Linked DNA regions of Coturnix japonica. The main gene of each other region encodes a partner of the protein of the gene in region 2 in a complex. Links are inferred from orthologs where the notes say so. Each region holds a gene or a part of one and is shown on either strand. Other genes may lie near its edges.

What was found.
Region 1: EPC1 (region 2) and VPS72 share a complex: the UniProt entries of both Homo sapiens proteins name them as parts of the nuA4-related complex. The link is inferred for Coturnix japonica from reciprocal best matches to the Homo sapiens genes EPC1 and VPS72.

The regions. Positions count from the first base shown.
Region 1 is NC_029540.1:2,245,299-2,249,477, forward strand, and holds VPS72 (vacuolar protein sorting-associated protein 72 homolog), read right to left. Parts: upstream 2,811-4,179; 5' UTR 2,748-2,810; coding exon 2,631-2,747; intron 2,066-2,630; coding exon 1,913-2,065; intron 1,712-1,912; coding exon 1,600-1,711; intron 1,491-1,599; coding exon 1,311-1,490; intron 1,226-1,310; coding exon 1,084-1,225; intron 916-1,083; coding exon 534-915; 3' UTR 448-533; downstream 1-447. UniProt on the Homo sapiens protein: Deposition-and-exchange histone chaperone specific for H2AZ1, specifically chaperones H2AZ1 and deposits it into nucleosomes.
Region 2 is NC_029517.1:12,814,576-12,818,087, reverse strand, and holds part of EPC1 (enhancer of polycomb homolog 1), read right to left. Parts: intron 2,590-3,512; coding exon 2,444-2,589; intron 2,358-2,443; coding exon 2,151-2,357; intron 1,750-2,150; coding exon 1,601-1,749; intron 420-1,600; coding exon 260-419; intron 1-259. UniProt on the Homo sapiens protein: Component of the NuA4 histone acetyltransferase (HAT) complex, a multiprotein complex involved in transcriptional activation of select genes principally by acetylation of nucleosomal histones H4 and H2A.

The sequences.
Region 1 (4,179 bases), on a different chromosome or scaffold from region 2:
GCAGGGCATGAGATCAGCGTTTTATTCTGCGAGCCGGCAGTGGGGAGGGGCGAGATCACATATCCCGCTGTTATCGAGCCCTACCAGCGCCCCGCGCTGCTCCACCCGGTACCCGCCGCCCTCAGGAGCCCCCCCCACCCCCCCGGGGCATCGGGGCTCATCGCTGCGTCCGCCCCATCGGGGGGGGGGTGAAGGTTTGGGGTTGGTGCTGTGGGAGGCACCTCTATCACCGCAGAGAGAGGCTGCCCCACATGTCCCGGAGCTGCCCCACATCCCACAGCTCTGAGACCGCCTGTGTGCCCTTCTCACCTCCAGCCCCAATCTGAACACTATGGGAGGGTGTGTGGGGCACTGCATGGATCTGCCTGCAAACAAGGCTTCATTTCATCCTGCTGGATAACCCAGCAACAAGGGCACGACCTGCGCTCCCCCCTCACCTCCAGCTCCTTCTTTTTTCTCCTTTTTATTACAAAAAAGAAGCCAAGAAAACAACAACACAAAACAGGTTGACATGGAACAAGGAACAGGCGCTCTCAGGCCGTGGGCACGCTCTGCTTGATGATGATCTTCTGCCGCGTGGCTCTCAGACCAGGGTCAGGGCCAGGAGGAGCAGCCCCCAAAGCAGCGGATGCAGCAGCGGCGCTGGGCAGCCCGTGGGCCGTGATGTATTTCTTGTAAGCCTCACGGATGATTTTAAAGGCTCGGATGTTGGAATAGGGGATGTCAGTGATGGGGTCACGATATACAGCGGGTTTGTGGGTTACAGGGCAGATCTCCCGCACCGGCAACCGCGGAGCCTTCGATTTGGGGAAGAAACGTTCAAAGGTTTCATCATCAGTGAAGGAGATGAAGGTGCGGGAGCACTTGGAGCTGGAGGCTGGAGCAGCTTCTGCCTGCTGAGGGTCTTGGTCCAACCTGGAAGAGCCACAATCAGCTCTAAGGGATGCACGGAGCTGGGGGAGCCCAGGCTGTGGGCAGCACTAAACATGCTGCTCCACACTGAGCCCCAGGGATGGGAGCGATGGGGACTGTGTGCAGCATAAGGGAAAAGCATCAGGATCCCATCTGCTGTTCCCAACTCACCCCTCCACGTCCACATTCTCCTCCTTGCCCAGCTCTGTGATGAGGGGCATGGTGACGGACCAGTACCGGATCACGGGCCCCACGCATTTCCTCTTCTTCTGCACCTGCTTCTTCTTATCAGCCTCCAGGCGTTCGTAGTTCTCTGGGGAAGCAGAGATGAGCCCAGAGGGTCTCAGCACCCCCCACTACACCCCCCATCCCATTCCCAATCCCTGTGCTCTCCTCACCCAGCGAGCGGAGGTTGATCTCCTCCGTGATCTTGGCCTCCTCCAGCAGCTCCTCCTGTGTCAGCGGGCGGTCGTAGTTGGGGCCTCCCTTCTTGCGCTTGGATTGAACCTGGCGCTCCTGGATACGCAGGAAGGTCTGACGTGTGTGCTCTGTTGTTGACTGCCTCATGTGCTTCCGGCCTGCAGTGGGAGGATGGGGCTCAGTGTGGGGCCAGCACAGCTCCCAGGGCAGTGGGGTGCCTGGTTCCAGCCCAGGGATGCTGGCACATCCCATCCTGACTGCACTCACTGTCTCCTACTTCATCCTGGAGTTCCAGTGGGGCTAATTTCACCTCTCGGGCCTTTTGGGAGCTGCTGCTGGGGGTGTCGGCCTTCTTGGGTCGAAGGCTCTTGATGGGCTCCTAAGGGTTGGGCAGGAGGGATGTGAGGAGGGAGAAACCACATGGGGCTGCCCCATGTCCTCCAAGGGACACGTCCTCCCCACAGTCAGCAATTAGCAGATTGCTAATTATCCCATCCATCTGGGGCCATCCGTATCCCTTCCCAGCAGGTCAGAGGACACTGGGATGGACCCAGCCCCATCCCCACTTTCCCCTCCTCACCCTGTAGGCCTTGGTGACCACGCGGCGGCGCCGTTTGGGTTCGCTCTCATCCTGGTCGCTCGTCGGTTCCTCGCCCTCATCGATGTCAAAGTCGGAGTCCACCTCATCGTCACTGTCCGACTGGTCGCCCCGGTACTCATCATCCCCCGACTCCTGCAGGGACAGATGGGCAGCGTCACAGCCAGGGCTGCGCTCCACCACCCCCCCATGGGCCATTCATTGACAGCTGCCCCTGGGGGTCCTCCCAGCCCCATTTGGAGCCCCTGTTAAAGACCATCTAAAGCCACCCCTGCCCCATTCTGTCCTCCTAAGTGCCTCCGTCCCCATTCTGACCCCTCAGTGCCCCCAGCCCCTCCAGGACCCCCCCCAGTTTCCCTCACCAACCCCTTCAGGGCTCTAAATGTCCCCGATCCCACTCAGCCTCCATTGCAACCCTCTCATCTCCCCTCACACCCCCATAAATCCCCTTCCAGGCCTCCCCTGAGGACCCCCCGCACCCCCCCGACCCCCTTTAGGCCCCGGGTTCCCTCCCAACCCCCGTCTAAGGCCTCACAACCCCCTCAAACCCTTCAGTCCACCTCACACCCCCATAAATCTCCTTCCTGACGACTCCCCGGACCCCTCACGACCCCCGACCCCCTTTAGGCCCCGGGTCCCCCCTCTAAGGCTTCACACCGCCCCGCAGCCCCCCTGCCCCAGCCCGTCCCGGCCGTCGCACCTCAGTGAACCCCCCATACGTGGTCTGGTAGAACTCATCCTCCTCCTCGGCCTCCAACAATCCCGACAGCCGGTTCCCCGCCGTGCGCCGCGGGGCGCGGCCTTCAGCCAAACTCATCGCGGCGCCTCCGCCGCCATCGGCGCTCGACTCGTCGTCCTGCCGTAGGGGCGGAGCGAACGATGTAGCGCCCCCTTGCGGCCCGGAGGTCCGGAAGACTGGGTTGATTTCTATTGGCTGCTCGAGGAGCACGTGACTCACATCCCCCCCCTCCTCCATACGTGGGTGGTACCGAGGGGGCGTGGCCTCGCGCGAGGCGGCGGCGGGCGCAGGAGGCGGCAAGATGGCGGCGGCGGGGCCCGAGTCGGGGGGCAGCAGCGGCAGCAGCGGCGGCCTCGGGGGTACGGGGGGACTAAGGCCGGGCCCGGGGGCGGCGGGGGAGGCGGAGCTGAGAGCCGGAGGGACGAGGAGCGGCTGGTGGGGGGGGGGGGGGGGGGGGGGGGGGGGGGGGGGGGGGGGGGGGGGGGGGGGGGGGGGGGGGGGGGGGGCGGGGGGGGGGGGGGGGGGGGGGGGGGGGGGGTTGAGGTGACGGTCTCCCCCTGCCCGGTGGGGTGTCGCGGCCGTTGGGGGCTGTGGGGCCGTTTGGCACCGTGTGGGGGGGAGGGGGGTTGGTCACCATATAGTGATGTATGTGGGGGATATGGGGGGTGTGGGGCTGCCCTCGGCCCGGGGTAGGGATGATGGGGGGCACTTAGAGCTGCGATTCGGCCGTGTCAGTGTTGAGAGGGGGCTTACACTCCTTATTGCCTTCGAAGTTGGTGGTAATGGGTCTGGTTTAGGGATGCTGGACGTGGAACCGGAGTGATTTCTACCGCCGTCCCTGGCACAGAGCGCTGAGGCCGTTCCTGATTGCAGGGCAGAGCACGGAGAGCTTCTGGTTGCCCAAAGGGGGACGGCTGGGGGGCTGCTGCCCAGCGGGGCCTCATCTCGGCGGCCTCCTGGCATCGCGCTCCTCATTTGGAGCCTCTGGAAATGGGTCTGTGCCCCCTCCCCGCCCCCTTTGTTGGTGCTCCCTGCTGTTCCCACGGCGCTGTGAGGAATGGGGGGGTCCGTGGCTCTGCCGGCTCAGGGTGAAGCTGCTCTTTCTCCTCCCGCCGTGCTTTGAGTTCCCTTTGGGAGCTCGGAGATGTCACACATCTCACCTCTCTCACCCGGAGGAGGAGCTGCCGCCTCCATAAAGCTCAGAGAGCGTGGAGAGCTTCACATGGGATAGAAGTGCACGAGTCTCAACCTCTTCTCCCTCCCTGCTGGGATCTGCGCCGCCGTTTGCTTTGCAGGGCAGTCTGGTGTTGGTCAGGGTGTTTTTCCTGCTGGGTTTCAATCTTGGTGGCAGAGCTGCGTGATGTGAAGTGCGTTCACTTCGGCTGATCCCCAGCAGTGCAGCATTTAAAGCTCTCATCCCATCTCTGGGGCCTCTCTTAGACTAAAGGGGGTGTCGGGGGGGGTGGTCGGTGGTTGTGGGGCTGATTGCTCTGGGTACGGGGCATTATTT
Region 2 (3,512 bases):
AGCTACCATTAAGCAAACTAAAGAGTAACATCACCACTCCAGCATCTTAATAGTGACACAAGCAGACCTCTCAAGAATATTTCTATCTCACAGCTATTAACTGGAATGTTTAAACTGTAAGTTGGAATTAAGCACCATTTGTTCTACTGCCATCCCACACAGAACACCCAATCAAGCACATTTTCTGTAGCTATATCCTAAAATGCTGCAGTTTGCTCAAGTCACAGCACCTAACGACTCTGTTACTGCCATTACTCACTTTGTTAACTTTATATTCTTTCAGTTCCATCGTTTCTTGATGTTTGAAAGGACTGCTGTTAGTCACAGGAATGATGGGAATAGCGTAAGTAGGTTTCATTGGCTGCCGCTGTGCCATGACCTCAGACACAATCTCTCCACTGTAATCACCCAAATTATACCTGTAATTTAAAAAGTGTAAAAGAACAAGACTGCTTTAAATATTGCTAGTGCTTGTCTGGTAAAAACACAGAACAACATGCAACAGTTAAACACAGAGTAACAGCACTTCCCATTTGGGGTAAGAAGGACTTCCAAGATGTCAGCAACAAGTTCAAAAATGACTATTGCAGGAGACCAACAGCACGCAGATTTTTTCTGCCATGCCCAGTTCTGACAAGGGGAACCATCTGTAATACACCCAACATAACATAATGCAAAGGGTTCTACAGAGAGGCAGAGCCTTGTGCACAAATCCCCTCTGTGCAACAGCACAGCTTTGTAAGATGTAGAACCATGAAACATATTGCATTTCAAGATCTGTGCTAATTTGATGGTCTGGATTTTTTTAGTCATTTTAGCCTTCAAGAGTTCACCTGCTTAGAAAAGCCAGTGCGTCTCTCTACTGGGCATGGTCAGTGCTTAAAAAAGAGCACCTGTTAGAAAGGACTGAGACACTCAGCTCGTGTTCCCAAGATCTCAAACTAAATCACAAGCTGTTTTGTTTTAGAGCCTTACAGCACTGACTCAAAATGTTTTAAGTTTTCAAACATGGATGCTTAGATCTGAGAAGTCCATTCAGATTCTAAATATCAACTGCTAAACAACCAACCCTACATCTCAAATGTGATTCTCAACTCATTGGGAAAGTGACAACTGACAAAGTGGAGCATTTGGTCTCTGCACAGCTGTTGAACAGGATGTCAACAGAAACAAGTTGGAAACAACTCCCAGAACAGTACATTGTGCTGAATGAAATGCTTGTTTTCTTTGACAGGATATTCCCTCATCTACACAGTTATTAAGTTTAACATTTCCATAGGAATTTACCTGAAGCTATAGTCTTCCTTACTACATAATACACAGGACGTAAGATAATTATGTTTTAACACACACGTAATAGAACAAAGCACATTAGCGATACCCATTTTGAAAAAGCAGCCTGCTTTTTTTTCAGTAACTCCCTAAATTCAATTCTGCTCTTCAGTGTCATAAAAGAGAATAGAATATGCCATATTGTTAACAAAGCAAAATGCAAATCTCTTTGCTAAGACAATATCGCATATTATATAAAACATTCATAGGAGCTGACATCTATAGCAGTTTCTGAAGCTTTCTGCAGCACATCTGCAATAACCATTACCTCTTTTCGATAATTTCCAGTGTTAAATGCAGCAATTCCCTCTTGCTCTTTTCCCTCCTCTTTATCATCTCCAGGATGGTTACTGCACGGCTCAGGTCTCGCCGCAGTTTAAGCATCTTCTCATAGGACGCTTCATCATTTTTTCGATTCTGTAGAGGCAAAGTGGTTCATGTTTTCCCACATCATTTAAATAACATAACCTGAACTAAACTAAACTGTAAGTGTTCAGTTCTTTTAAAACATGTGCTAAAACAAATTTAGAGAAACGTGTGCATCTACCAATCAGCTACAGCTTTCTACCATCACAAGTAGGTTTAGCAGCCAATTTAGAGAGAAAATAAATACTGAATACAAACTTCCTTCAGTAACTGGTCTCAAGTGCTTCATCTTTTTTTCCATCCCCCCCCTTACAAATTAAAAGAGAAAAAACACAAAAAGGCATCTTGTATTGTTTTACACTACGTAGCAAGTTTGTCTCTTCAGATAAGCTCTTATGAGAGGGAGGAGAAAGAAGAGGAAACAAGTAACAGGGAAGTATTAATCTACTTACTTTCCTTGTCTGCATCTTTTCTGTTCGTCTCCTAAAAGCAACGTAAGGATCATTTGTGCTGGAGCCATCTCGCTTCTCTTGTTTCACCGCTGGGATAAGAGAGGGCCCTCGACAGTTTTTCCTCTTTTTAATCCAGTACTCGTATACTTCTCTGATCAATTCATCGTCTTCTTTCAGCAACAGCTTGGCCTCTTGCAGGCTGACTGGCTAAATGTAAAACCCAGTATGTCATTGTCATAAGGCATCACAGACAAAGCGTATTTCAGAATTCTTTATTCAAAGCAACCCCATACCTGCTGGCCGCTGCCCTTCTCTAGTCGGTCTATCATCTCTTCAAATTGCAAAGGAGAGATATCCATCCTTTTCTTCAACTTATTGACAAAGACCTCATCTTCTGAATCCATGTCATAATCCGGCTGCTCAGCGTCCAAACTAAAAGCTGAATGATACAATTCAAGCTCAAGTCACTGATCTACTACAGAAACGTTCTGTTCTAACAGCAGTGTCTGCAATACGTGCCAGATTCTTCTGAAGACAAAACCAAAATGATGTTTGCACACTGTGCTAACACTACTCAGAAGTAGCATCTGCCTTTCTATTGAAATATCAAAGATAGACACTGATATCTACATAAACATGCTCATTTTAACTAATGAAAACTTTACAGTGTCTCTATATAGATATATATAGGTATTCATCCCCATTAGATCCAGTGAGAATCAGCTGGATTGGTCAAACCTTCCACCATCTCATGTTCCATAACTGTCCATGTTGTAGCATTCATGTCAGAAGTTAAGACTCCAGCTTAAATGCATTAAGAAGCTCCTAGAGAACTACGTGCACAGCGTAACAGAGACCTCACAAATCACAATGACTTGTGATAAAAAAGGTGTCAGACCAAACTCGTCCAACAGCATCTCCTATGTATGCATTGTAGCAAGGGACCTTCAAATATAAATCACGTATAGCAGAACAAGCTGTTCAGTTTTCCACAACATCCTCTGAAAATACAACATTCAGCATCCAGCACATCCCTGGATCTCAGTTTCATGCCAACTGCTTTGGTTCCCAAGAATACTAATTTCTTAAGGATTCATTCCACACTGTGAAAAGCATCACTGGCTTTTAAAAGATGCAGCTGAATGTTGTCATAGCAACTGAGAGACCACCAGAAGAAAAGGAAGAGTCAAAAACTGCACCTTGGTATCAGCACATAAGACTCCTGGTATTAGTCTCTCCATTTGCTTATTAGAGCATGCTGTTCTGCTGCTACTTCAGCTTATTACTGAAGATCAGACTGACAGAGAAGCTTAACATTAAGCCAGTTATCAACACATAATTACACATATGTACACACACAAA